Lepisosteus oculatus: one gene and its partners. The protein of the gene in region 2 purifies or fractionates together with the protein of the main gene of each other region. This does not show direct contact. Links are inferred from orthologs where the notes say so. Each region holds a gene or a part of one and is shown on either strand. Other genes may lie near its edges. The genes, in order: svila, F-actin-capping protein subunit alpha-2, twf1b and microtubule cross-linking factor 1.

Evidence for each region.
Region 1: the proteins of F-actin-capping protein subunit alpha-2 (region 2) and svila purify together in Homo sapiens (affinity purification with mass spectrometry; 3 studies listed by BioGRID and IntAct, counting the BioPlex papers as one, with this or other methods). This does not show direct contact. The link is inferred for Lepisosteus oculatus from reciprocal best matches to the Homo sapiens genes CAPZA2 and SVIL.
Region 3: the proteins of F-actin-capping protein subunit alpha-2 (region 2) and twf1b purify together in Homo sapiens (affinity purification with mass spectrometry; 3 studies listed by BioGRID and IntAct, with this or other methods). This does not show direct contact. The link is inferred for Lepisosteus oculatus from reciprocal best matches to the Homo sapiens genes CAPZA2 and TWF1.
Region 4: the proteins of F-actin-capping protein subunit alpha-2 (region 2) and microtubule cross-linking factor 1 purify together in Homo sapiens (affinity purification with mass spectrometry; 3 studies listed by BioGRID and IntAct, counting the BioPlex papers as one, with this or other methods). This does not show direct contact. The link is inferred for Lepisosteus oculatus from reciprocal best matches to the Homo sapiens genes CAPZA2 and MTCL1.

What each region holds. Positions count from the first base shown.
Region 1 is NC_090701.1:39,896,174-39,903,497, forward strand, and holds the start of svila (supervillin a), read right to left. Parts: upstream 3,005-7,324; 5' UTR 2,873-3,004; coding exon 2,815-2,872; intron 1-2,814.
Region 2 is NC_090702.1:45,303,361-45,310,704, reverse strand, and holds the start of F-actin-capping protein subunit alpha-2, read right to left. Parts: upstream 3,024-7,344; 5' UTR 2,957-3,023; coding exon 2,918-2,956; intron 1-2,917. UniProt on the Homo sapiens protein: F-actin-capping proteins bind in a Ca(2+)-independent manner to the fast growing ends of actin filaments (barbed end) thereby blocking the exchange of subunits at these ends.
Region 3 is NC_090702.1:29,639,931-29,647,953, forward strand, and holds the start of twf1b (twinfilin-1), read left to right. Parts: upstream 1-5,002; 5' UTR 5,003-5,276; coding exon 5,277-5,301; intron 5,302-6,491; coding exon 6,492-6,569; intron 6,570-7,364; coding exon 7,365-7,543; intron 7,544-8,023. UniProt on the Homo sapiens protein: Actin-binding protein involved in motile and morphological processes. Inhibits actin polymerization, likely by sequestering G-actin. By capping the barbed ends of filaments, it also regulates motility.
Region 4 is NC_090701.1:56,253,163-56,260,275, forward strand, and holds the start of microtubule cross-linking factor 1, read left to right. Parts: upstream 1-4,109; 5' UTR 4,110-4,754; coding exon 4,755-5,684; intron 5,685-7,113. UniProt on the Homo sapiens protein: Microtubule-associated factor involved in the late phase of epithelial polarization and microtubule dynamics regulation.

The DNA of each region.
Region 1 (7,324 bases), on a different chromosome or scaffold from region 2:
AAAGCTATTGTATTGTTTTTCACCATTGATTTGTGGCAACCAAATGTTTTTATTGAATTTTCAATTTAATATAAAGCTCATGTAATGCTAATACAGTGTACTCTATATGTAGGTGTATTCACCGATTTCAAGAGGCAGATATTTCTAATAGCTGTAAAAATCCATTCTCAAGACTGCATTGTAGGATTTGTCTTAATTCTAGCCATTGTATATTCAACAGTTTGCAATATACTGAGAAGTGAGTAACCAGTGTTTATCTGAAGGAATGTCTGGGTTTATCCAGAGTTGAAGAATGTTTTTATTTCCACTGCTGTGAAGCCAGCAAAAAACAAGAACTCGCTTAAAGTAAAATTAACCAAACCGTTCAACAAGCAGAGGCAAGGATCTGGTTTGAGAAGTTTGGCAAACTAATACCAGTTGGTTGCCTAACATACTGTAACATTAGCCATTATCAGAGCTCAGTGTGGTTTCTACTGACGTATAAAAGGTAGACTAAAAGTTAGTCATCTGCTTAATTTATTTTCCTTATGAACGGGTGTTTCCACTTCTGAATACACCTCAGTTCACAAGATTACCAATTCATCTTAGGGAACATCAGCAGTCACAAAAACAGAAGACATTCATTTAAAATGTTCAGTATAGATATTAGTGCTGTTCATATCGCGTCTTCACTAAAAGTCAGAAACCTCTTTTATAAAATGCTCATCTGGATATATTTTCATATATAGTGTTATTTCAGCTGCAAGGAATATCCTCCAAAAACATTGCTCATTCGAAAGAAATCCCTCTCAGAATTCAGCTCAACAGCTGATAAAGCAATTCTAATTGACAGACAACTATAAAGAACATTGAGGACATTAAAGTAACTGACATTTTATTTAATACTGTTTTGATGTTATGGTTCATACAGTACCTGACAAATCAGAAAATGTTTTAGAAATGACATTTTCATAATATACTAATATTTCCATTTTCAATATACTATAGAAATTTCCATGTTGTTGCATCTTCAAGCAAAATTATTTTTAGTTCACAACATTAAAATAAACTGCATGTGCATACAAGAATCATGTTCCTCAGGGAATATTTTTTTGGTTATGGGCCTGTGCAACATAAGGGGAATTGAAAGAGGGCCTAATCAGACACAGGCCTCAGTAAAATTTATAGCAGTGCTAAAGGCATGCAAGAAATTTCTAAGACTCGAACAGACTTTTTATATACATTAAACATTCCAACTAGGGAACGTAAAACTACAGTAATAGGTATTCCAATGTGAAAAAACACCATTGGAATCATCCCCATCAGCTGCAGGTTACAAAAAGCATGCTGTCCTTCACGTTTTATGAATTATACTGGGTTTTCTCTTATGTGCCTCATAATTACTTACAGTAGGGTGAAAGATTCCAGTGTTAAGAGGTGCTAATATTTTGTATAGGGTGCCTTAAATTAACTGAAAATGTCATCTCCAAATATCTCACTACATAATCTACAGTGGAAATTATACCTTTACAGTATATGCACACAAATTATGTTTGTGTCTAATTTACTGACGTAGCTGAAACGGAAAAATTGAATTGCGTATATAACGCTTTCTAGGAGCTCTTAGGATATTCTATAAACTCACAAGAGTAACGGAAGTAGGCATAAATCCTATGTTTAATGCCTACACAGTATGTAGTATTTTAAGGTTTAAGAACCGTCAAATTAGAAGGCCGCATAAAATCTAGCTCCTATTATACAATTTAATTGTCCTGTTCTAAAAATGTGATGTAACAGGACACGATGCACATTAAAGAATAGATCATTTCCTTATTCTTTTCAGTAATGTGCTAATTGAGGAAAGTAAACAAATTTTTCAGGTCTGACAAAAACTAAATTGCAAATATTTAGCATAAAATCATGTTCATATGCAATTATCAAAGGCTAAATATTCAATGCAAAACAATTGTTTAAGTAACACTGAAGAAGTCTATAAAACAGTCTAATTGTTGTTTTCAAAGGATAACCAAATACGCATTTTCATTATTTAAAAAAAAAACTCCCTCACCAAATGTACACAGGAACAGATGCCACAACAACCTAGAAGTAAACAATTCAGCTGCAGTAGATTTTAACCAATATAAAGGGAGAGTTACTTGCAGACAGATGCTGAACATGTCTGAATTCTTTATAGTCAATAAGCTAGGTGATAGGAGGATGATTATCCAAATGCCTAGCTCCCAGAAATAGAAAATTCTAAAAATATCCTAAAGAAGGATGTTCTGCAGTTAGAATTTAAACGAATTTACAGTAATTGCTCCAAAGCAAAACGCTGTATTTCTTAGTATTACACATTCAAAACCTATCTTGAGAATAAGGCAAAAATTTCCCATAGAGCTGCCAGGAAAAAAAAAATCCAGTGGCAAATAAAAACATTATAAAGTGATTCATCTCATTTAGGCAAGCCATTACCATATACTGAAATTACATTTTTTGGTGGACTTCCACCGATGAATTAAGCTTGAGAATTACATTGCGGTTGTTTTTATTAAATGTGCATGAAGTATGCTGACACCTGTTGTAAATACCAAGCACGTTGAAACGCTAGTAAAAATAAAAACTCGATGCACATATCAAAGCTGCTATTGTAGACAACATCCTTTTGACTCTTTGAATTAATCATTAATTGTTTTGCATTTTAAACTCACAGATGAAAATCCTTATCCCTCTATTTCATTCATTACCTTTCAACTGCGTCCTCGGAATTTCAGACTACATAATGCAAGGACACTGGAAACACTGCATTTCAGAATAGCATACTATCAGGTCACTTACCTTGTCCACAATACTTCATAGCGCCGACGTAATTAGAGATCCAGGGGTTCCTGAACATTGTTGCAATAAGGGAGAAAATGCCAACAACAGGAAAAGAGGTGGCAGCTATTCCTCAACCAGTGTAGATGCAGCACAAGGCCTGCCTACAAGGCAGTGTGTAGAGATTCCTACTAGCAGTCCTGAACAGACTGAAGCTGTCAAGCTATCGATGGGCTTAGGGAATACAGTGCATGCATCGCAATAGGCTGCATGCTAAAGCAGCTCAGGCTGGTAATCAGATTACAGGCGAAAATTAGGCACAGGAAAATGTTAAAACAGATTTGATGAGGGCGTTCAAGAGCCTGAATCGCCAAAACTGCCGCAAGTCTGTGGCCAAAAAGTCACAACATCTGCTCCCTTGGATGAGGTACAGTACCGCAGCGCAACGGAGGCACAGCTCCTCAAATAAAGAAGAGAAACAATCTCCTCTAATGGACAAGAAATTCCACTCATCTCTAAGTAATCAGAAAGTGCAAGGAGTGCTCAGAGAGAACGCGAAATCAGCTCCCAGGCTGCCAGAGGACTGGGCTCTGACTAATCGTATCATTATGCTAAATACTTTGCCTACCCCAGGAGAAGCCAAAAAAGCACACCGTTAAAAGTCTTGATTTATGGACAACATGTGAGTAAAACTGAAAAGAAAGCAATGGACCCTCTTAATAGTCCGAGATATTCCAATACAAGCCGTGCTCGTTGACCATCTTTCAGATCCCTCAGATTCACAACTGAAGGTAGCTACTGTATTTAATAAATTTACTTGGAATGACTTTGGCTTTTGAAGAGAATGAACAAACAATAAAAGAAACTGGTCTTTCCCTAAAAAGAAAAGCTTTAATGATATACTTTTTACCAGGACCTTTTTTCTTGTATCGTAATAAGTGATTATCTAAACTATGCCCCTAATTTAGTTGGAAACAAGACAATATTCCTAAATTACTCAACCTTTTCATAGGTTGAATGTAAACTACTACTTGGAAAGTTAGTGCTAAGTGGTTCATTTTGAAGCAGGTTTTTCTACGAGCTTTTCCACAGTTTATGGTGCACCTGGATTAGTAAGTTATAAAAATATATACAGTACTTATAAGAACATGCAAGTCCACAATGATAGCTGTGGGTGAGTGCCCAGCTACAGTACGTTCAACTTGCGAGATGCAACTACTGTTAAACTGATCCGAGAATCGAATGTGCAGGCCCTCTCCCAATTAGAGCCCCATGGAGAACAGTTCATGACCCACTTGGTTAGAAATGCTTCCTCACAAGGAAAGTGGGGTATGACAACTACAGTAACTGTGCACAGACAGGGATAAGGTCAGCTTGTCCAAACATGTCGAACTCCATATGATAAAAGCTGAGAGTTACACTTTTCACAATAGAACATGCTCCTACAGATTTACTGCTAGGACAAACAAATCTATTTGAAACGTAACATACATGTATTAGGGTCTAAACTGCAAGTGTATATTGACAAAACAGAAAAGAATGTACAGTATAATTTGCCATCCTCGCTAGAAAAATGGCATAGTGTTTGACTCACCGACGTCAAACAAGGTCAAGTAGACACTGATGGAACTTATTAGAAGTGACAGGCTTAGAAATCACTTCTGCTGTGATCTAATCTAGGCCATGCATCCATAGACACAGATTCGCTGCCAGCTCACATCTGAGGGGGGGATCTACAATTACCTCTATAGGATTTTCCATCTTACCGAGTCATTTGCATTAACTAATAGGTCTAGCAATCTTAAAAGAAGACTTTAAGAAATGGTATCTTCACATACATAAAAAAGCAACATCTGAAATGTCAAAAACAAGTTAAAACATGGGCTAGCAGGCTCTCAACAGAACACTATTTTGGGTAAACCCAGATTAGCGTGAGCTATGACAATTTTCAAGTCTGTTTTAGATACAGTAGAGACCTGCAGTACATCATCTGTCACAAGTGCCTGTTAACCCAATGAAGAACACACAACACCGTCTGGGAACCCAGAATTCCAGACCACTACACTGTTATGCCAATCTCTTAGCACTGTAGCTACAATCAATACTGGTATTCCACGTAGGAATGGCACAGGAGGGAGGTGGGGTCTCGGGAAGAGAATTCCACCTATTGTAAGAATCTCTCCAGAGGAAAATCATACTAATCTTACCACAATATATATAACTCCAATTGCACTGTTGAAAGAGAATAAAGATCTAAAAATCTGTCATTGCACAGCAACTTGGACTCAACTTCTAGAGCAGGGTTGATTAGTCTGAAAACTACCATAAAGCAAAACTGTGGCTCAAACAACATGGGGGGGGGAAAAACAACTACTTGCATAAAGAAAAGTGCCACATCCAGTAACTCGCTATCTAAAATGTAATACAATCAAATGACCATGACCAGCACTTCTAGGAAAGTGCATTCAATACATTCCATTTAAAGCAATTGTTCTGCAGAAAATATTAGAATTATTCCACAAGGTTCAGTGGGGGAAAAATTCTGGCATTTACTTTTTTTAAGCAAAAGGCACTCAAACTTTCAAGAAAGGGGTTGACCAACCAGATTCCTGGCTGTACCATTTACTAATAATAACGTAGAAAAATATTCTGGGAAATATAATTTTCAGTCTGTACATTCTTCATTACACTAGCAAAAATATGAATAGCAAACTTATTAATAAAATACCCAGTATGTCAATATGAGTTAGATCCTCTCTTCAGGACGACAGTAAAAATGCTGAAAATGATAAATTTGCAAATATTACAAGCTTGGCTAATAACAAAGATCACAGGCTTTGTAAAATATACATAGTAGATTGTGACTACATCACAATTGTAAAGGCACCTCAAAACAGAATGAGAAACATTTTGACAATTACATCATGTTGGTATTTAAAAACAACAATTGTTAAAATTAGAAACATACACTCTGAAATTAAATGTCAAACTCCTTTTTAAGGACAACTATTTCACAACAAACTGCCATCGTTTTTTGCAACAAGGAAACAAAATGCACAGCCTGCTGCGAACAATCAGTGTTGGATAGGATGTGTGGAAAATACCTTCAGTCATTTTAGAATGTGTTTCCTGATCAAAGTAGAGAAAAGCACACGGCTTCTTATTTGCACAAGGGTCTGTTCTCTTGCGCACAACTAAATGGTCTCAAGACAAGGCAGGCACTGATAATCAATACTGAGTGCTTTCATCGTGTACCATTTACTAACAGGACAGAACAAAACTGAGGGGATAAGTGGTGATACACTGTTGTGTGGTGGGAATTGTGCACACAAAGCATAAAATCAATAATGTTTTACACAAAACACAGGCTCCTTCAAAGGGCAGGTTTGGAAAGGCAAGGTTGCCACTGTTGAAAACCAAGAACTCCAACCTAACAAAGAAAGCTAAGAATGCTCTTCAACAAAAATGATTTAAAATTTTCAGTGGGGCAATGAACAACTTCAGTTTTGAAGAGTCTTTGCTACTGTAGATCTTGTGGCCATTTCTTGTGGCAATCGTCTTTTAAGTTGGAAATGTACCACATTACACATCCGCCCTGCGATGGACTGAAGCCCTGTCTGGGGTATACCCTGTCCTGTGCCTGTTAATTGCCAGGTAGGCTCTAGCTCTGCCCATGAATTGGAAGTATTTAGAAGATGTGTGTATGTATACAGTGTGTATATATATATACACAGTACAACAATGGCTTAACTCAAGCCCTTTTAAAATAGCCTTACTGTACTTAAACCAATGCATTTTCACTGGTTTAAGAAAATACTAAAATTTGCTTAAGAATTTAAAAAGGTTCTGAAAAATGTACATTTGCATACTAGAAACTGAAATTAAAAAATCGCTGAAACAGACTTGAGAACAGAAGAGAAACCTTCTCAAAACAAAACTGTTTTCTGAACGGAGAAAGCACTTCCCTGCAAAGACCTGCATAGGTCTTGGTCTATGAAGTGATGACAGAATGTCGAATACACGAACCCAGATGAAGCCTGTCCAGCTGTTGATAAAGGAAAGCACAGTGCACCCTACAGTCACAATTAGTTTGCCACTTCTAGTCAGATTAACTTAAAACATAACCAACGCCAAAGAAAAATACAGCACAAAGGGCAGATGGCAATATCTTAGCTGCCATTAGAGAGAAGGCCTTGAGAGTTGCATATTCTGGGACTGCTTTGCAAACAGTGCCAGTAGTGGGATACCTCTCAGGGGTGCAGAACTGTAAGGTTCCAGCTCCATTAGCTGCAAACCGGCAGAGACTGTCCCTAGCCTCCGTTCCCAGCAGCCTACCCTAATAAGGCAACATGCAACTTGACTGGCTGACTGAGAGGTCGTATACTGTTTACCTCTGCAAGCAAACAGCATGCTAGCTCCCTGTGACCCTGTACCTTCTGGCAGACGGCGTGCATGCATAACCCTTGTCAGCAGCTATAAAAGCATCCATGTCCTACTACCTTCATACGAAGGGAAATTTCTGGTTTAAAAA
Region 2 (7,344 bases):
ATTACGGTAAAGACTAGATATCCTAATCAGTTTTAGCATGTAAGAACATTACATTTTTTTTAAAGGACAGAATCTTTCTGCACACATTTTCTTTGAATTTCAACTAGTTTATCTGGTTAACACAAAGGCATGATGAGGCCATTCAAGTTAAATTAGGTACAGCTTGTGTTCAATTAGACTATGTGCAGAATTGCATTATGTGACTCGAATTAATTTCACACGGCACTGAGACAACACAGCTATTGACATTCTTGATGACCCAGTTACACCAAGGGTGGATCCGTGGAGTTGTGTTTTTCCATCTCTTATTCCTGTTATTCAACAGCAGAATGTTATGAAATATGGAAAGGTACCCTTAACATGGCATTCAAAAATGTTTGGGCATAGTTTACAAAGGATAAAACACAAATAGTCACAGTAATTCCTTCAGAGAAAAAGTACTATAATCTGCCAAACAGTTCACCACCACTGTAGTCAGTTATATCATGCTATTAAGTGAATGATTTAGCTTTAGCGAATGTTTTTAGTGGGAAATTATCATCACTGTGGTGACTGTTACATTTCTGTCGAATATTTTACCTTTCATTTCCATACTGAAGAGTCCCAAATGTTTTCAGGTCACTAATGTGTGGTATTTGTTGTTGCTGAAGTGACATTGCTGCACTGAAGGATTGTGAACTCAACAAAATGTCAATGCCAAGACATAAACCCCTAAGTGCACAAGATACAAATAATAAAACTGTTGGCTTTTGACAAAAAAAAAACTTCAGTCACCAATGAACTATCCTTCTAATTTTTAGGCATCACTCATTTCAGTTTGACTTTCAATCACCCCACAGAAAAAAACAAAACATAAACAACTAAAAGGCTAAAAAACCAAGTGTGCTTGTTCATTAGTCAGCAACTTAATGTAGATTAATTTCACTCCATGAACGTTACTGGTCTCCACAGCTGGGTTTAAAACTCTTGATGTCATATTAGTAATCTTAATCTTTACAAATAAAATCTTACAACACAGATGTACTAGGTAATGAGGGAGACTGTACTGTGCACTAAAACAGTGATACAATATGATCAAGAATTTATATTTAATTCTCATGCATAATATAAAATACAGTCTTTTAAAAACTTACAGCAAAGCACTTTTGCCTCTCTGATGTGTTCTATTCGAAAGACTGCAGTATTTCTAACTAGTCTTAAGTAACCTTAGCACAAGTATAAATCTAGAAGTGTTACAGCATTATACAAGCTGCATCAATTTCTTGGTGAAAAGCCATAAATAGTACAAATCAACAGCTTGGGTGATTTTACAGAAAAAAACTGGTTATCATATACAGCTTTAATGCACAGCAATGCAATTTGAGTAATTGATTTTAATGTGCACAGAGTAGTGTTCCTTTAGATTAGATTTCGATTAATATTAATAGAGATGGACAGAGTTGGACAGAGACGGGCAGCCAAATGCATTCTGAGGTCTAACACTGACAGCCTCAAAAGCACTGACAAAGTCGACCCAGTGAATTTCTTCAGGGGATCTTAAATGTTTATTCAGCAAATTCACTCACTGTTTTTATTTCAGGATACTAGCAGTGTTGGTTAATCCCTAAATAATACTCAGTGTCATAAAGACTTTTCTGATAAGGGGAGGTGCATGTGATGCTCAGAGCCCAAAACAAAAAGGTACTAAATTCCTTGAAACCTGTTTAGTCTTGTCTCATACTGTGACTATACATTCATACCAGACAATTCAAATTCTTTATGGGAACTAAATGGCTTTTTAGTTCTGTTAAGGGCAACTCCAAATGAAGACCTGACAACTCAGTCACTGCCAGGATTCTTAAACATGTTGTTTATTCTACATTTATTACATTTATTACACCTTTTAACAGTCAGATGGATTCTTGTTTTTACAATACACTGCTGAACAGCTAAGAACTTGTCATCTTGCATTTACAATCCTACTGGTGAAGCAGGCCAATATAATCTAGTTTATTTCGAATGATACATCACTGACTGCTACAAACAAAGTAGAGAAGTCTGCTTTATAGCTGCCCACATTTCACAATAAATAACCAGGCCGCGTTAAATGCATTTACAATCCAAGAACCACACTGCAAGAGCGAAATATAGCGAACTCCGCTTCCAGTACCCTAATTAAATGGATGCTATCACAACACATTCACCGCATCATTTCTTGTAAATTGAGGGGATGGGAAGTTACACAACTCCGCAAGTATAATCCGGCAGTTACCTCTGTACCATTTACCTTACTACAAGTTTTTTTTTTAGTTTGCGAACCATTATTTCGCAGCACCCTTTCTAGTACCCTAGAGGCTGCTAAGCTTTCCTGAGGGCCCGTACAGCTGCACCGCGGAGAGCGTCCTTACTAACTTCAACAGCAACACTGCAATTGGAAAACCTGCAGCACAGTATGGGGCTTATTCCTCCCGGCTCTGGTTCTTATTGTGCAAACTCGAGCAGTAATAAGCAAGCAGCGCCAATGGCAACAGGGCGTGTACTAGTAAATACATATCCTGTGTGTGCGAAATGATCACAGAAAAACAGGTCAGACATAAACGCAAATTGTATGACAGAAGGATAACAATGCATACTACCGCTTTAGGAACTGGAGCAACTATATGGAAACCCATTCCTATTTTTGCGATCGGACCGTACAAGGAGTCCCCGTTTGAGATTCGCAGACAGAAACGGAAGTTGGGCAGGGACTGCTGAGCTAAAAATAATAGACTAGTGCAAGCCTGAACCCAGCGGCCTGTCGCTACTTGTAAAGATGAACAACGCTATACTTTACCTGAGCCCCTATGTATAAACAAGATCGGAGTTAAAGACTATTAAATCCTGCATCACTCTCTGTCCTAAGCCCTGCAACCAACAAAAGACATTCCGCATCTCCTACCTTCTCCTCATCAGATAACTGCTCCTCATGATCCGCCATCTTTCCTTCCGGCACGACGGTTCACTGAAGCTCACCCTGACGTCATCAGAAGGGAGGATTCCCACACGAGGCTCGCGCACTGCGTACGGAGCTGGAGAGTGTGCACAAGGCGCGCGACTAGCTGCGAGCGGCGGCACAGCCGGTCATGATTCTGGTCTCCCTGGATCGGTGGATTATAATATAACCCGGCAAACATTTAGTAACCTTTCTGCAACGCTAAAGGTGCTGATAAAACGAGAGGTCCCGATAGCTTACGTGTTAATCAGCACTAAATAAGTGTATTATTTGTTCGTTATTGACCCCATCAAAATAGTAGACAAATGTTTCACTAGTCGGAATCAATTCCTCAATTTATATATGTGTATGTATTTAATTTATCACACTTCAATCTTAAAATGTTGTGCCTTTCAAACTGCACCTCCCAAGAGCAATTTAACACATTGGCGCAAGTCTTTTTAATTTACCACTGCCAAAGACGGCAGCAATCTGTAGACTGAGCCGAAACCCAGCGCTTATTATCTGATGAGGTTTTCAGATATCCGATTAGATCTGTTCTGCCGAACACTCGGTTGCTTGTTAACACTGCCACCTTCTGTTGTGTTAAGTATATTATTTGTATTGACTTTTTTTTTACCTGGTTCGTCTCGTATCGTAAACATTGGTGTAGAGCTCTTAGCTAGGTTGTTTTAAACTAGTCTAGTTAAAGGGTTATTGTTAATAAACGTGTTGTAACTATGTTCATTCTAAAAGTCCGAATGTATCGTGTGTTTCAATCAAAGCTAAAAAATAATGTCCTGTGATAAAACACTAAACGCCATCTCAACATTCAGTCATTCATCGAAAAAATAAAGACAATTTGAGCATTTCAGCATTTTGAAAGAACAATTGTTAGTTAACTTTTTGTGTAAAATTATTTTGCTCAATGTAAATAAGCAAAGCGTGCTATATTTAAATGAGGCTGCGGGTTTAGTCTTTTACTGGTTATGGTTTTGTGTGAAATGATTTGGACAAATCGCAAAATCCGAAATATCAAACAGGATACGCCTGAAACAGACAAAGCGACGAAGCTACTGTACGTAATCAACTTGCGAATTGAGCTCGGAAGGTATTACTGTACGTGACAGGTGTCGTATCCAATTCAGTATCCCCTGGAAATCTGCATCCCCCTACGTCATGCATATGTGACATCTCAGGGGCGTATGATTTTTCTCATCTTCTACATATAAAATGATTTACAGTAAATGTAACACATAAGGGCAAAAGATGCATATAGCCTTTGTGTGCTTTCTTTTGGGTTCCCGCAACCTACCGAAGCTCAGCAGGTGTAAGCCTGGACAGTACCTGGATGGGAGACCTCTAGAGAAAAACTAAGGTTGCTGCTGGAAGAGGTGTTCATGGGGCCAGCAGGGGGTGCTCACCCTGTGGTCTATGTGGGTCCTAATGCCCCAGTATAGTGACAGGGACACTATACTGTAAAAAGACCCCGTCCTTCAGATGAGACATAAAATTGAGGTCCTGACTCTCTGTGGTCATCAAAAATACCAGGGTGTTTCTCGAAAAGAATAGTGGTTTGACCCCGGCGTCCTGGCCAAATTTCCCATTGGCTTTTACCAATCATGGCCTCCTAATAATCCCCATCCATGATCTGGCTTCGTAACTCATAGCTGGTGTGCCGTCACATCATCCAGGTGGATGCTGCACACTGGTAGTGGTAGAGGGGAGTTCCCATTACCTGTAAAGCACTTTGAGTGGAGTGTCCAGAAAAGCCCTATATAAGTGTAAGCAATTATTATTATTATTATTATTATTATTAATTTGAGCTTTCATTCACGTGACAGCGGTATTTTTTGTGCATTTTTACATTACCGTAATCCTTAGAAAACGCATTAAATACACAGAGAAACCCATGTAAGTGCACAAACAACGGGGTCCTTTTTATCCATATCGTAATAAGCAAAGGCACAAACATGCACGAGCAGCCTGTATCATCAAGTTATCCTGGAAAGTTTGTGGAGCGCATGCGCATTACGTAAAGGGGATACAAATTTAGAAGGGATGAGAAAAATATACTGATCCTTGTGTAGCACCATCATGCTTTGTCGGCAACCATGCTAAGTATCCTAGATCTCTTCCTGCCAGTACTCTACCACCATTGCACACTCCTTAATATCCCTGGTCATCTATATCTGCAGATTACACTATAGGACTTTCTCAATTCTTGGTTGTTCCGTGTTGTTTTACTTGTAGTTGACTCATTCTTGAAGACAGCCCATTTTGTTCCCTTGCTCAAAGCCACGTGGTTGAAGCCAATATTTTAGTTTCCTTCAAGAAACAGCCACTTGACAGCTTTAGATCAATAAGCTACCAACTTCCCAATGGACCAGATGTAAACATTCCGATGTTCTTATATGTATATGTAGAAGTAATGCTCTTTCTGTCTTTATTAGCAGTGGTTTCCTTTTCTGAGTCCCACAGGCAAGTAGACTTCTGAAGATCACAAACCGACAATTTGTCTGTGACGTACACAGGAAATAGCTTTTATGCATTGTGTCTTACTGTATATCGTCTCTTGAATTCAGATTTTTTTCCTATTCCATCCATTTTCTTAACTTACAAGTCTGATTTTTTTAAGATTGAGGTTCTGTAGTTGTTTCCAATTCTACCTACACACGCATGTATATCAAATTTGTCTGTACAATCAGGCCTTGAGTCTATGAAATTTCATATTAAAAACCATAAATAATGATGTACAGTATTGCAGTATGCATTACCTCAAAAAGAAAATCATATATACCATCCTTAAATAAATAAAACCTTTTATAAAACTAGTTTTCAGTTGTTTAATGTGAATTAAACTGTCATATGTTTCACAGACTTCTCTGATACAGCTATTTTGAGGGTTTGCTGTGAATGCAAGTTTGCAGGTTTGAGGATTCAAAACGAAAGCACACTATATACTACACTTTATTCCGCCCCCTTTGTGAAATTTTAGTCGGCGATAAGGTGCAATAATAATAATAATAATAATAATAATAATAATAATAATAATAATAATAATAATAAAATTATTATTATTATTGCTTACCCTTATATAGCGAAAATGGTTATAGTAATTAAATCTTAAATAAAAAATAACGTATGGAATACCAATTTCCTGCAAACTAAATGTTAAAATGTTAATATCATACAATTCATAGATCATTTTATACATTACGCTTTTACTTAAAAAAATGTGCCACCACGTGCTATTTTATGAAGCGAGAAAAGTTCACGGTTTTAGTTGTAGAAACGACTCCGGGCCACAAGAGGGCGTCGACGCAGCGTAAAAAAACGGGACGTTGGCGTTTCAAGGAAAACATTTAGCTGTAAATAAAATGTTTAAATTTTAAATTACAACAAAAATACTTTACAGTAATGTTAGTCAGTACACTTTTACACTACACTGAGAGTACATATATGTTCGAACAGACCTTATGAAACTCACACCTCAGGGTTTGTACATTATCATCTTGGCGCGCAATAGATCATGTTGACTAATATGGAAGGTATGACGGTAAAGGACGCTGATTTGAGAAATATGCCAAGTGATTAGGTACAAAAGCAATGTTAAGCAAATGAATCACTGCATGCCTTGAATGTAACCTTTGTTCCAAAAATTTACAAATGGCAAAGGCAGGTCTTAGTTTAAGACAGGATGGTCTTCAGCTGTAAATAAATGTGAACAGGTGCACTGCTGTAAAAACTATTAAAAAGAAATGCCATTTGCAAACCAACTCAACTGTTTAGTGTACTAAAAGAGAAACACTTCACAAATGGGAATCAAGGAATATTGAATAAAAAAAACAGATGTGTCTTAGATTCCTCCTCTACACAATGTAATCCTTAGATTTTGTTGTAATAGTAATTAACCTGATTCTATATGGTCTTACAGTGTGTCCAATTTTTTTGATAATTACAAAACCATTTGCAGTTTTTTGAATTTGCTATTCTTTGTACACATACAGCGTGTGCTATTTTTGATTCTTTATGAACTGGAATTATGTTAAAAGTTGTATTCATTCATGTTGTTTTCCCCTTGGATAGTAGTGTCTGCCTAACATCTTCATTATCATTATCATTAATATAAAAAAATAATTCATTATGCTAAAATTTCATACCTGTGTGGAAATGAAAAAATAGAGTGTTCACCAACATTATTTATATAAAACAATTACAAATACAAAAAAAAAAGACAACAATGAAAGTAAAGTTTCACCTGTCCAGCTCATCTGCTTGAAAGTGCTCTGGATGAAACCAGAACCTGATGACTCTTGTTAAAAGTGTGGGGTCATTTTTGTAGACCAAAAAAAAAATCCCTATTCCGATCAATAATTTTATTGGTTACTCAA
Region 3 (8,023 bases), about 16 Mb from region 2:
GGGCATTGGTACAGAAAATATCTCCTGTATCAAGTATTAGATGTTATTACTTCACCACACAAGTGGTTGGACATTTAGCCTTGGATTATTACAATAATCACTAACATAATGGCTAGGAAACAATATTTATATTTTTTAGAAAAATAATGGGATAAATATGTCATTAAAATTCAATTATAGTTTTCCTTAACTTTTTTTCTTAGTTTCAAGTGTATAATTTTGTATATGTTTTGTATTCACAGCTGAAGAAATAATGTCCTGTTTTGATAATAAAATAGTAGACATTGTCTATTAAACTAAATACTGTATGCTTTTTCCAAGGGAATATCTGCTGTCCATTTGAATAAAAACTGGTGAACACCAGCAGATCCCATATTAGCTTTAAAAGGACACAGCTGACCCTGCAGTCAGAAACTAAACATCACACAGTAAACATATAGTAGATTTCTTTAAATATTAGCCAAATATAGCAAATATTAGCAAGATACAAATGTCAAACATACTATACAAGACATGCAAAGTCGAAAATAAAGATTCATAATTTCAGGAAAGCAGAAATGGAATGGGATACAAATGTGAAATGAGAAAGGACAGCAACAGTTTAAAAATATTCTGCTTGAAACACGGAAACAAAACACATTCCAAAAGCAAGCAAATCACATGCAAAACAGTTGTCCAAATGGTTAAATAAATCAAATAAGAAAAAATATAAAGTGAAACAAAGCACTTTAAGAATGATTCAAGTACAGTTAGTTCAAGTAAAAACGGGTATTAGAAAGAGAGAAAATTCTACTGAAATAGAAGACAGGTAATATGTTTTCAATATGACCACAACAAAACACTAGTTAACCATGAAGTAATGTCTCTCAGGCATAAAAATTGAAAACATTTAGAAAATAAAAGGATGATGGCTTCTGTATTAAATATTTCACTACACTTTTTATCATGGGAGAAATCAACTGCATGCTTCAGGGTGAGGAAAGGTGGAGCTTTAGATTATATACTTTTAGCACAGAAAATACATGAGAGTTACAGGTACCAGAAGCACTTACTGTAAGATGAACACAGTTTTAGGGATGTTGTTCATAGGTCATTAGTAAAACTATTCCAACTGTGACAAAACTAACCCAAGTAATTGTAGACCAATAACCCTTACTTCCAATGTAAAATGGCAGTTGTATGGTAATAGACATCTGAGTCTGAACTACTGCTCTTCCTAATTTATATCATTAATCTAGACTCTGAAATAGCAATAGTAGTACAGTATAGTTAAAAGCATAGATTTTTAAGCAAAGGGTAATATGTTACACTTGTATGACTTCATTTAGAATATTTTTACAATTCTGATACAAAAACGATTGTTGTCCTTGAATTTCATTGTAGAGGAGCAACAAAATACATTCCCGGCCTAAAAGGAATATCCAACTTTGACAGTTTAAATGAACATAAAATTAAATTAACAAACCTAAACAACTGGATTCATACCAAATTACTATAAAAGGATGTGTAGCTCTCACTTAATCCCAGTTCTTTTCTTAACAATCTTAACTCATTTGTGCATTACCCTTGTCTATCTGTGAATATGAAGTTAATCCATAATGAACACAGTATCTTAGATTCTTAACACATATCTCTTGATAGTTAAATATGTCAAGAAACAATATTTTTAACATACCAAATATTGCACACATAGTTTAACTAATTGCACGATTGGTTAAATAAATGATATATCAATAATGTAACAATAACTATTACTATTATTATTTTATGTATAGTAAGAGGGGTAAATAACAGTTTCTCTAAATCCCTCACATTATTTTTCTGTCCTTGGTCCACCTTAAGAAATGCTCTTTAGCTCAAGTGGCCAATAAAAATAGACAAACAGCTGACTAGCATTACAGGAAATGCATTTTCATTTTTTCAATCCAGCATACAACAGAAGTTTCTCGTTTCTAACAATTTCTGGGTCTTAAGGAAATTAAAAATATATTGTCAAGTGTTTAAAAGATTATTCCACATTAACACATGCAAAATGTAATAGCACTAATTTGTCACTTCTCTGTGTCCTAGGAATGAAGTCAGTCTTCCCTGCTCCTGACAGTGCTTTGTTTTATTATATTACCAAGGCAACAGCTGCTGGAATTGTCAAATTTTAAGGCTGAAGTCTATTTGATAACTGTCTGGCTGCAGGCTGGAGAAAGATTGTTCAGTGAATAACATATTTACATACTGAATACACCAACTTACCACACCACTTCTTCCTTCTTCAGGCTGTGCTCCGGGGACAAGAAGCCAGATCCCACTCGGCTTTTGGCAGCATCATCATGCTCACTGAGCTGACAACATTAGAATTATTCTACTAGCAAGAGGAAATCATGTCTTGCAGTGTCACTAGACTGGCCATGTGACCTGTCTCTTTCTATGGCAGTCACACTCCCAAATCCATTAGCTTTGTAGTTGTTTTACAAGCAGCAGTGAGAAGGCAGAAAAGGCACTGCTTCGTCAGCATGGCTGGGTGTTCAGCTGTTCTGTGTCAGGGAAATGCAGAGCTGAAAAATGCACTCCCCACAGCACATACTATCAGCATCCAGTAGTGCAACAAACATGCTGGGTCATCCTGATGAAAATAATGTTTCTTCCAAGTGTATCTATGAAGGTAAGACAAAAGACAGATAGGGACCATTTTGAACATGGAGATGCAGCTCCATTACTTAGTTTTATTCATTTGAATCCTTAAATACTTATAAGTACCACCACAGACTTTTGCTTCTCTTGTGATATGTTTTCTTCTTTTTCTTTATAATATTTTGAATAAGATAGAATATTTTTTAAACTGGTTGAAAACAATAAGCATCAAACTATGAATTGCAATATTTGATATTTTAAAGCTATAGTTTGTTGATACTTCCTGATTTATTTTGCACACAATTTGTCTAAAGTTGAAAATCAAGCAGTGAAATACGTGTCATGAATAATTGTCAGAACGCGGATATGAAAGTAGTCTTGAAACTCAAATATGTACAGTATACAGTATAAAGAAATCCTCCTTTAAAAAACTCTAGAATGAAAGAGTATTTTTCTGTTTGTATTTTATTGACATTTTTAGGAACCTAATTAAATCAGTCAATATACTGTACTGTATACAAAATTAAGAAAGAAACTTACTTTAAACATAAAAACATTGAAGTTTTTATGTACAGTAAAGACACTTTGGAATTCTTCAAGTGCAAACTGCTTATCTCATACTAAACAAATTGCTCAGAAGTAGAATCAAGCTCTTAAGATTTTAAATAGTTCAAAATAATCAGTAACCTTTTCAGAAATATTATATTTCAGTATTAATATCATTCATGTTCAAACAGAATGTCAGCAATACTGTGATCTACCAAAAGGTATTTTTTAAATATGCTTCTAGATGAGGAATACTGTATCTATAAATAAATCTCTGTAATAGCCTAAAAACATTTTGAACTACCATAGATTATGGACCAAATTTAATTAATCTTTTCTTCTGAAAAGTGGTTAGCCAGATAATTCACTCAGCGGAAGATATTATTGGAATCTTATAATCAAATACACAGTAAAAGATAAATATATCTGCAGCACCCTGCAAACCTCAAGGGATTATTGCTGTTGTCCTTTCAAAACCTACTTAAGCAATCCTTTTTCCTGTTGACAGTATTTAAAAATTATATTTATAATGTGTTGGTGATTGTTCATGGAGTGAAGTTTAACATATATTTTCTGGAATATAGCATTGAAAGAAAAAAAACTTCTGCATATGATCTCATAAACACCAGCTAAATGAGTAAAAGTTAAAAAGTTAAAACACTTGAAATTGTATTTCTGAATGGAATTTGCATTTCACCTCACAGATACATTTCTGTGTCAGTATGCACTGTATGTGTATATATACTGTAGCTGGCTTTGCAAAGCAATACTGTTCCTACTATGAATCATGTTTTGGCACATTCTCCAACAACGTTATTCACGACATTATATATTTAGTGTTATAACTTATGAGCATTGCTTGACAGAATTGTACCTATTTCAAAATAATATTTCTTCCACGTTTACTAATTTCACTACAACAAGAGGTCGATTAGATTTCTACTGAATTACAACAATTTAATCCACAGTGTATGAATTGTTATTTCTTTATAAATAAATTTAGGAATGTAGTAACGCTGGATGTACAACTGTGTCCATCATATTTTAACTTGTTTTACTGTTTTATTAGTTTTCCCATTGATTTGATAATGCATCACACTTTGCAAGTAACGACACGTTTCTGCAAGTACCCTACAGCCGACGATGACACAGCGAGAACAAACTGCCTATACCTTATAACAAGATTGGTGCCAGCTTAAAAAATGTGCTAGTTTTACCATCCCCTGGTCATTGATATCCCATAATGCAGTACAATATCTCTAGGTACAGATACGTAGTGACAAGAGCATGCGCAATTCTTGTTAAGAATAAGAGCCTCTAGCGGTTGTTAGAAAATGTTTTACTGGCCTTGTATAACAGGTGCTTAGTGCAGCTTTTATCTCACACTAATTTGTGAAAATAGATGGAATTTGAGGTATTCGGTACTTACTCTAACATTTTTTTTTCCTGGAAGTTATCATGTTGAATATTTGAACTGAGGCAATACAATATTTAACTTATAAAGTTAGTTGCATCAATATGAATGGATCAAATTAAATTTACAGCAAATTGGAATGATCCGCAAAAAACTAGACTTCCGTGTATAATGCATTTTTACACAAAAAATCAAGGAGTTAAAGACTAATGGCTTTATGTTCTTGCATTTCTTCAGGCGGTGTTGTTTTCCCTTCAGACGTGTGTCCATATGTTAATTCGACGTGACTTTTCAATACGAGATAATTCCGAAATCCAATCATTTGAAATTTTACATAAACCTTTAATTTTGAGTGAAATTTTACATTTTTATTGCATGCTGTGCATACTTATGGAAACATTCACATTGCGTAGTGTTTGCTTTAATAGATATGTGATACGGAATTACAGGTTTTATGGAAGGTTCGAACAGCTAACATATCCAGACATTAACAAGCTCATGCATGCCCTAGCTAGACGAACAGCTCTGAACTTCCACCTCTTCTGAGCCCAGTGTTGGCCACGTGACTTTGGAGTCTCTGCTGCTGCCGGTGACGTCAAGTCGAAGCCGGTGTAGAATTGCTGTGTAGTTCAGTTTCTTCTTCCTTGTTCTTTCGCTTCTAATCAGCCGGTCGACTTCAGAGAAACAAATAATGTCCCATCAAACTGGCATTCAAGGTAAATTATTTTAAATCTGTGTCTAATCTCTTATCTTGTTAAAAAAACATAATCGTGGTTAAAAAGAGGAAGAAGTTCAGTTACGATGTAATCAATACCGCTTTAGATTAAATGGAAGTTCTTGTTGGATAGCCTGTTGTATCTCTTTGCAAAGGAGAATAATATAACTAATTGTATTATTTTGTCTGTTGAGTTAGAATGAAAAAAAACGTACGTGAAATGAAACATGCTTGGTGATCTGCTATACGTGTGTTGTGGTTGCTCCATTAGTACTGCCTAGAACAAAGGTCTTGTGCAAATGAAGTATCCACAGCACCTTCAGTAGAAAGCAGCTATGGTGAGACAACGCCTACAGAGGAATTTAGAAGGATATGACTGGGTCCTGGCCTTGCCAACAAACCGATGAGACAGACAGACTTACTTTTTCCCCCCACAAGTGTATCAGTTCCTCCCTTAAAAACCAAAACGTTTATGATTTTTATAGTGGGTCAGGAAATAAGTATGGAAAGGGGATTCTATACAGATCTCTTACTGTCGTGTCAATACAATAAAAGAAAATCACTTGTTTTATTTAGAAAACTAGGGTATTTGACTGTTGACTACATTATTTACCAGAAACAAAATCAATTAAATACTCTAATGCTAATGCATTTGTGTGCTTAATCAGGATGTTTGTGTAAAGCACATTCATAATTCTTATAAGGACAGATGCATGAAATGTTAATGAAAATTCATTGGCTTAAGTTTTTTTTGAGCACTTTGGATGCGCTCTTATGCCTTTATTATAAGTACTGGTAGACATACATCTCTTGCAACACACTGTTCCTGTCTCTTTACAGACAGTTCTCATGAGACTGTAGTTTTGTCTTCTGCCCTTGATTTTCCTCTTGTAAGATTGTTGTTCCAAAAATAAAGTTTATTTTGTTTCTTCATAAATTAAAATTAGTTTTGAGCTTAATTTGAAAATCCTTTAATTAAATTCAGTACTAAAACCTGATTGAGGGGCAAGGGAGCTGTCCACTCTTTCATTTGCCAGTATTGTTGAATTGTGACATCAGCAGTTCATTTTATTCTGCAATGTTTAAGTGTCATGCATTTATGTACATAAAAACAATGTGTACTTAACGTGTATAGTATGCTTCAATTAGTAGCTAGACGTGTAGTTTAATAATGTTAAAATTTTGTTTCAGCTGCTGAAGAAGTGAAAGACATTTTTGCAAATGCCAGAAATGGGAACTATCGGCTCCTCAAGATTGTGATCGAGAATGGTCAGTTCTAACTCTATGTAAAGTATGGAATTATAATTTACTTGTGATTTCTGTTATGATATGTAATACAAATGCCAGCCTTTTCCCTTTTAGGACAACTGCATCAGTGATAATGTAAAAAAATATTATTCAGAAGAAAAAGTTAAAACCAAGACAACCAGTAAGTTAAAATTAATAAAACACGAAATCCCCAGTTACGATAGCACAAAGTCAAGAACTAAAAAAGGCTTTTATGTCATAACTGAATCAAATGAAAACATGTTTCTTCACTGAATGTTTTTATGGTTTCTCATTACCTGGCATATTCATACATTTGATAGCGTCAAATTAGAAGTGAAAGATAAAATGCTTAGCCGTGTACAAGTAACTAGTTTTCTTTCAGCATGTTATATTGTTGCATCTATTAGTATGTAAAAGTGTATTAAATATGTAGAAAAAAAACACCCATATCCAGATCAGTGAATGTGGATAATAATGGGACTTGAAATTAGGTTTGATCAAGAAAATTTTAGACACTTTGTGACTTTTTTAACTGCACTTCCCTATTTTGCAGTGCTAAAAACCTGCTTTCTTCATTAAAAAAGTTTCCAAAATGTATGGCAAAAAATAGGATACACATGTGTAAATACAGTACACAAAATTGAATTATTTTTAATAAATACAATCCAATATGTATTTCTTTTTATTTAAAAAAATATGTGAAATAACAGGATATAGACCCATATAATCAAAGGCATCAGTGTAGTTATATTCTTAATAATTAAGACTCATGCATGTTCAATCTTTTTATTTCAGAAGAGCTGGTAGTCGGCAGCACCAAACAAGCTGTGAAGACCTGGGACAAAGAATATGATTTGTATGTTCTTCCTTTATTAGAGGATGACCAGCCATCATATATCCTCTACAGGTTGGACTCACAAAATGCTCAGGGATTTGAGTGGATTTTTCTAGCCTGGTCACCAGATCATTCACCTGTAAGCTATCCAATATACGGTAACGATATCCCAAAAAATGAAAGAATTGTTATTTTTTCATTGTACGTTACAGACTCGAACCTGTGTTTAAGGATTTAATGTTGCTTTGCAAGAACTGAATATGGTACCAGAAAACTGCAGCTTTGTTCTACTGATGTTTCACAGTATTCACAAGTATTAGAAGACCCAGTACAGTCCACTTTTCCTGGCTAAGGCCATGGCTACTGATTATTAAAAATGAAATATAGATTCAGTACAGAATTAACAAAGTGTCTTATCTGTATAATGGGGTTGTGCTTGTCGCAGCTGCATGTGTGCACCTATGACTCCTGCTGGCCATACTCAACACTGTGTCTCTACTGAACTGTCGTGTGACCCTTTTGATTGTCTCCTGTCCACAAGAATGCTCAGTATTTAAAATCTTATTTTGCAATGGAAGCAAACACTCACTCAGTTCTTCAAAGATATTTGAGATCTGAA
Region 4 (7,113 bases), on a different chromosome or scaffold from region 2:
TTTTGTTGGCATGTTCTAAGATGTTTTTGAGGTATTTATAACTTGTGGCATTCTTTAACTAATGAAGTGCAAATAAAATTTTATATTTATTACTCAGCATTTAATGTTGGAACGTTTAATTTATTCTACGTGAAATGTACAAAATTAGATGTACAAGGGTCACCCAGTGTGTAATGCACCACATTTTATAAGGAACGAATTCTCACAGGACAATGCTGTCAGACTGAACTTTTCTGCTTTGTTGCTACTTTCTTGGTGATCCTCTTTTCAATTGAAATGTTAGTCTGAAATGCCGGTAAGTCGCCACCAGGTGGCACTCTAATTCTGGAATATAAGATGTGTCTCGGCTCCTCTTGCCCAGAGGATGGCAAATTTATGCCAGATTCCATGCCAAGGTTCGGTGCTCCTGCTAATCCTCAGTTATTGAAGTGATTTTCACTTTGCTTGAGTAAAATGAAAAAAAAAGTGGAATTAAAAGGATCAGTTCTGTACTGAATGTTTTGGAACAAGGGCCAAAGTCCTGTAATGGCTAGGAATCCAGGTGCCAGAGCAGAGAAGGCCCAATCGAGCCCACGGAGACGTTGTTTATGAACACAGCTCTGTTGATAAAGAGCCCGTACAAGCTTCAAGTGTCCACTAATAAGATCTCTTTATACTTCATTTACAGGAAAATGCAGTATTCATAGGTTTTTCCCTGCTTTTCAAACATGTAATTTTCTGTTTTTTTCTTAAGCGATGTGTGTGTGTGTGTGTAGGGGTGGCACAGTAGCGCACTGGTGAGCCCTCCTCCCTCACGGCTGCTGGGGCCCCGGGTTCGAGTCCAGACCTGGGGTGCTGTCTGTGTGGGGGTTTGTATGTTCTCTCCGTGTTTGTGTGTGTTTTCTCTGGGTGCTCCAGTTTGCTGCCATAGACCAAAGACATACTGGTAGGTTCACGGGCTTCTGGGTGAACTGGTCCGGGTGTGAGTGTGTGCGGATTTGTGTCAGTGTATCTGTCTGCCCTGCGGTGGACTGGTGTCCTGCCCCGGGTGTACCCTGCCTTGCGCCTGTTGCTTGCTGGGATAGGCTCTGGCTCCCCCAGGACCCTGAATTGTAACTGTTAGAAAATGGCTGGATATACTGAAGTTGTGAAAGACAGCATTTCACAGCTGGGGACTCGCTTTAACACTTGCCCATAGATATTGATTTGGACACTGTCCTGAAAAGCTTTCATGGTCAGATTCTAAGTTGAAAGCCTAGGGGAAAATCAAGGATTTTATCAGGTTTTCTCACATTTTTGCTGTTTCTAAATGGACGTCATAGAAGGTAATATTAGGATTGGGGTGTGGGGGGAGCACTATGATCAACTCGAAATGGTATATGTAGCTGGTCAAGTGGTGAATGGGCTAGTAACCACAATGAACCTGAGATTCATGGATAACAGATTTGGCAAACCTTTTCGTATACAACCGTTGTAGTCTGAAAATACAGGTATTATTTTAACAAATGATCTGCTGTCTCTTTAGTGGCCTGCATTATCTCTTGAGCCAGACCTCTTTAATGCACCTGGAAAAGCAATTGATCATCTCCAGCAACACCTGCGATATTAGACAGGCAGGGCACTATCTTGAGAATGAGTGCTGCCAGCTGTGCATTTCACAGTGGTCAATGTTTTCAATTGATCTGGTCAGAAATTCAATAAGTTGACTCCTTCCTGTTACTAGTTTTTGTTGCATCAGTTCCGTTTTACACAGTTTTGCTGTGTTAATGAACCAAATGGTTCATTTACGGTCTCATTTTAATATTTACGGAGGGGATCATACATTCGTTTGATTCCTAGCACCTTCCCTTTGCTGACTGAAAGTCCTGGCATGAAGATAACATGCCTTAGCTCAGTGTATTCAGCATCAGACTTTGCTACAGCTAGCAGCATGTATTGTGTGGTAATCAGTCTTTATTTGTATGTATGGTGTTAGTTCACATGCAAGCCTCAGTAATACATTTTACAGGGTGAACATAGTGATGCCAAAAAGAAACGCAAGATTTTCTTGAATACTATAGTTATAGTTAATGTACTTTCACAAAAAGTGATAAATTTGTTTTAAGCAGTACAGCTGGTGCAGTGGGGCATTGCAACCTGCCAATCACAGGAAAGCTCATTAGGTGCACTTTTACCCAACGAGGTGCAGGTGGAGCAATGCCTGATCAGGTCACCTTTAAAAAGGCCTCAATTCAAAGCTTAGGTCACTGCGAGAAGAAGCCCACACTTAGTCAGTTTTCTGTGCAGTCCATAATGCCTCAGATGGCACCAGAAGCAAGGGAGAGGGCCACTGGCATGCTGCAGGCAGGCCTGTCATGTGCCAGCGTTGCCAGACGCTATGGAGTGAGCCGCTCCACTGTGTCCCGACTGCAGAGAAGGCTTCAGCAGACCGGCAGGACAGATGACCGCCCAAGATCCGGTTGCCCTCGAGTGACCACACCAGAGCAGGACCGACACATCAGACTGGTCCATCTGAGAGATCGTTTCAGATCTGCCACCCGTACTGCGGCTGAACCTGCCAGCAGACACAATGCCCGCATCAGTGACCGGACAGTGAGGCTCCATGCTGCTGGCCTTAGAGCAAGGCGACCTGTCAGAGGCCCTCTGCTCACAGCTCCTAGACCTCACACCCAGCTGGCTTGGGCCAGACAGAGGCTGCGATGGACTCGTCAGCAGTGGCATCAGGTCCTCTTCACAGATGAGTCCCTCTTCAGCCTGTTCCACCCAGACGGGAGGGCCAGAGTGTGGAGGAGGAGGTGTTGCGTTTCTTTTTTCCATCAGTATGTATACAACAACCCTTAAAGTACTGCTTACACAATTTAGTAGACACTCTACAGTATAGAATTTAACAACACACTTAACTGAAGACAGAGTAGCAAGTGTGAAGCTGTAGGAGCAGTACGCTTGTAGGACATCAGTGCCTAATGGGGAAAACGTGATTGTAAAAATCATACAGCTGCTCACACTTGTGTAGCTGTCAGTAACATGAAATGGTCAGATATGTAGGCAGCTGCAAAATGTTCGTAAACGCACTGACTGAAAACAATCTCTTTTAGACAGCTGTTTGTGCCCTAAGGATGCCAAAGCTCTTTATGTGTGGTGCAGCCATGTGCCAGCAGCCCGACTAGAAATGGGAGAATCAAGGAGAAGTTCCAGGTAGGTCAGGCTGTTCAAGCCCAGAGGAATTTAACCAGGACGCTGGGCACCACACCCCAACTCTAATGAAATGTCACGGGACCTTGTCTGATGCCTGGTCTGAGTGATGGTACCCACTACTGTACACTGTACCTAATCACAATACTCGGGAATTTGTTTTGAAAGCTGTGGTCCAAAGGGAAGAGTTACCCCCAACACCTCTTACTTCAGCAGCCTGGTTTTCCTTATAAGTCCTCTTTGCCCAGTACTGACTGGACTCATCCATGCTTAGCTCCTGAGAGATGACAAGATCTGGCGGGCTACGGTCTGGTCATTCTGCTGCTTAAAAGGACCGCAAATGTAGGGTCTAATGGAAAAATTATTTTTTTTAAATAAGAGAAATATGTATGACGAACACCATCCATCCCCGTAAGTCTTAATTTTTTTCAATACTAATGTATAGTGTAAGGAATATTTAAAGCTTCTTTTGTATGTATCCTTATTTTCTGTTTGTAAATATAATGTGAGATGGAGCCCAATAAACAAGTTCCTTGTGACCTCCACACATCTTCGAGGGATACCATCTGTTAATGGCTTTATACCGTGCTTGTGTTCCAGGGATGTAGTGCTTTTTTATACACGAATGCCTACACATATAAGGTGTCAAATCTGAGGTGTCCTGCGTGACTTAAAAAAACAAATCCACGCAACAGTTTAGATTTTATATTGATATTGCAAAGTTAACAACAGTGGGTGTAAAGGCTAGATTGGGCGGTGCCTTTATTATTCCTGTAAGTCTAGGTTAATGCCTTTTTTCCCCCCAGTTCCTGAATAAGAAATTCTCAATCCATGCGGAAACAAAGTGGACAAAGCCTCAGACTCCGTTCTGAAGCTTACGGGCTAAGGCTTTTAGTGCATTAGCGCTTTAATGCCACCCGCAGACACAGCTGCCAGAGAGCGGTCGTGAGTAAGGACGCAGACAGCTCTATGGACTTCCCATTCATTGCCCGTAAGACAAATCTCCTCGGACTTAAAAATAAGAGAGAGGGCGGGGGGGTGAGAATTGATGGTGAAAAAAGCAGGCGCATGCGCTCGCCGGAAAGGCACAAGCGTCAGAGACGGACCGCAGCAGCGCTTGCAGATCTTGCATGTCAGACCGGAGCGGAGAGGGGTGGACGGCTGAGGAAACTGTCCGAGGGGTGGGGGGGACGAGGTAACAGAATGGGGGTTCGGGGGGATCGCTGTCTTGCATCACGGCTGCACATGAATTAAACCCGGACAGAAGACAAACCCGTGGCCCGGCAGGTGGGGGTGACTCGCGTCATTTCGATTGGAAATTCAGGGTTGTTTTTTTTTTTATCCTTGCTGCATTTTCTTTAAACTGGTTCAAGGAGAGTAAAGGGAGGATGAAGAAAGGGGGTGCTTGTACTCGACAGAGGTAATCCATCGCGGGGATGTGAACGCCTGACAAGGTGCGCACCAATCCGAAGTGATGAAATCGGAAAAACAGGACGGTATTGCCGAAGTGATCTGCAAGGGTTATTTGTGTGGGCAGAGGACGGGTCGTTTCTTTCATCACCATTCCTTACACGCGTCTGCGGATGATGGAGAGTTTAAATGGCACCAATAACGAGAGCAAGCCGCAAAACCACCAGTTAGTGGAGAAGAAAAGACTGAACAGAGCGCCTTCCCCTGCGAGACCATTCCTGAAGGATATACACTCCCGGTCGTCTGCCAAACCCCCGGCCATCCCTCCCAAATCTCCCAACCTCTCGAGCAAGCAGCAGCAGCAGCAGCAGCAATCAACAGGGCTCCTGGCATCTCAAAACCGCCTGTCCAGGCGCAGCATCTCCGGCGCCAAAGACAAACCGGCTCCGGCAAAGAGTGCCGCCAAGACCGCGGTACCCAAAAAGGCAGCTAAGACCATCCAACACGGGACGACAGAGCCGAAACTCGCCGGCCACAGCTCCGGTAAAGGGAAAAAAGAGAAAAGATGCGCCGTGGCGGAGGCTCCCCGGGGTTCACCTGGCCAGAGCTCTTCGGTCGGCGCCCCAGGAGGAGCCGGGCTGGGGAGGAGCAGCCATACGGACAGCAGCTCGGACCTGTCCGACTGCCCCTCGGAGCCCCTGTCGGATGAGCAGAGGCTCACCCAGGCGGGCAGCAGCGATGCGGAGTCCGGCTCCGGCTCCGGCTCCGGGTCCAGCGACCGCGACCCAGGGTCTGGCGATCACCAGCCTGTCGGGGCGGCCGCCGCCGCGACCTACGGGAGGGCTCACAGCCTCCCCCAGCTCGGGGAGCCCCCGGCCTCGGTGTCCCAGATACCCGCTAAAGAGAGGGTGTCCTACCCGCTACCTGCTCCAGGACAGTGCGGCGACACGGAACCGCCGGGAAGGAGCCCCGGCAAACTGGACTTTAGACCGGGCCACCCGAACACCCCCACAGAATTCATGCTGCGGGGCAGCAAGGGGTTGATAGAAGAGGACCTGCTGAGGGAGGTCGAGGACCTGCGTTCCGAAAATGACTATCTCAAGGTAAATGCGAATGCGTTGGAATGGATCCCTTCAGCACCGCGTTTGTGTGTCACTGTTTTTAACACACCTGCTCACTGAGGAAGGCATTCGTCGACACTAACCGTTCGCCAAAAAAAATAAATAAATAGCGGTACCACAACTGACGCATGTGCCAAACACGAGACATAGTGTAAACCTGTACATGAATAAGTTCTGTGGTCCGTGTAAGCGCGTATAATAATATAGGCCTTATCGTCTTTACGCGTTAAAACTGGGCAGCAATCAAGTTCTTTACATGTTCTTTTTTGTTTCCTTTTTTTTGTCAGCCTGGATAGTTACGCATTATTGTAACTAGGGGTGACTAAGAAGATGCTGTTTTGCGTTTTCCTCTGCGAGCACTACAGCACTGTTATTACAGTATATTAGCACACTGTGTACTGGATGTGTGGTTGGTGTTCAGAAAAAGCCAAGGCTATGCAATGCGTTGCGCTGCAGCGAGAGTGCAATTACTAGGCTCTGCTTAGGGACATCTGCTTTTCTATTGGTTTTAACCCTTTTGGCGCATAACACAGAATTGTTGCTTTCTTTTTCCGTCTCAAGAGCGCAGTGAAGCCTACACCAAACTCAGTTCAATTCACTTTACTCTTCGTGTTGTCTTTCCCCCCCAATGGCAGCCTGTAATAACTGAATTCCCTAATTACTTGAGCACTGATTGTTACTAGTTTGTCATTATTGTTGCCATCACAGTATCCCAGTTCGTTTTGTTCACTTACAGTATTTACGGACCTTTAAATACTCGTAACACCTCGAAACTCTAAATAGACTCGCATGCGCTTCGCTGCTTTCCGTAATTGGTCTGGAAAGCGACTACATACAGTACACAGATGTTAATACTATTTCGATCATATGTATAGAACCGAGGCGATAATCCAACCTTGTAGCCTTTTACATTAGCGAGTGACTCCAGAGATTTAAAATTGATATTTTTGCCACCACACCGCGATCGCATTTTATGTACGCCCCGGCACTGCAAGAAAACACGTTTTTTTATGCAGCTAGTGAACAGCTATGGGCGTATAGCGTCTCACAAGCATCTTGTAAGATATTTCATGCGGACATCACAGGTGACACCAAAAGCGTGCTGAAATGCTGGCTCCTCTGTAGAGACGAAAAGAAACGTCGCTCGGAGACGTTGAGGTGGCGAATCAAGCTATGGTGTATTGTATATATATATTTTAGTAGCTACATTTAGCCGGAATTATAGAGATATATAGCTCTCAAATGACTTTTTCAAACGCTTACATTTTTAACCAGAATCTGTATAAACCGTTTATTGTACCAGAAGGCTACTCTGTATTTAGTTAAAAATGCTGCAGGCTAGCTTCCCTTCCACATGACCAAATACAAATGAACCAGCTCCGACATGAAGCTGTGTAGCGCGTATGTCGTA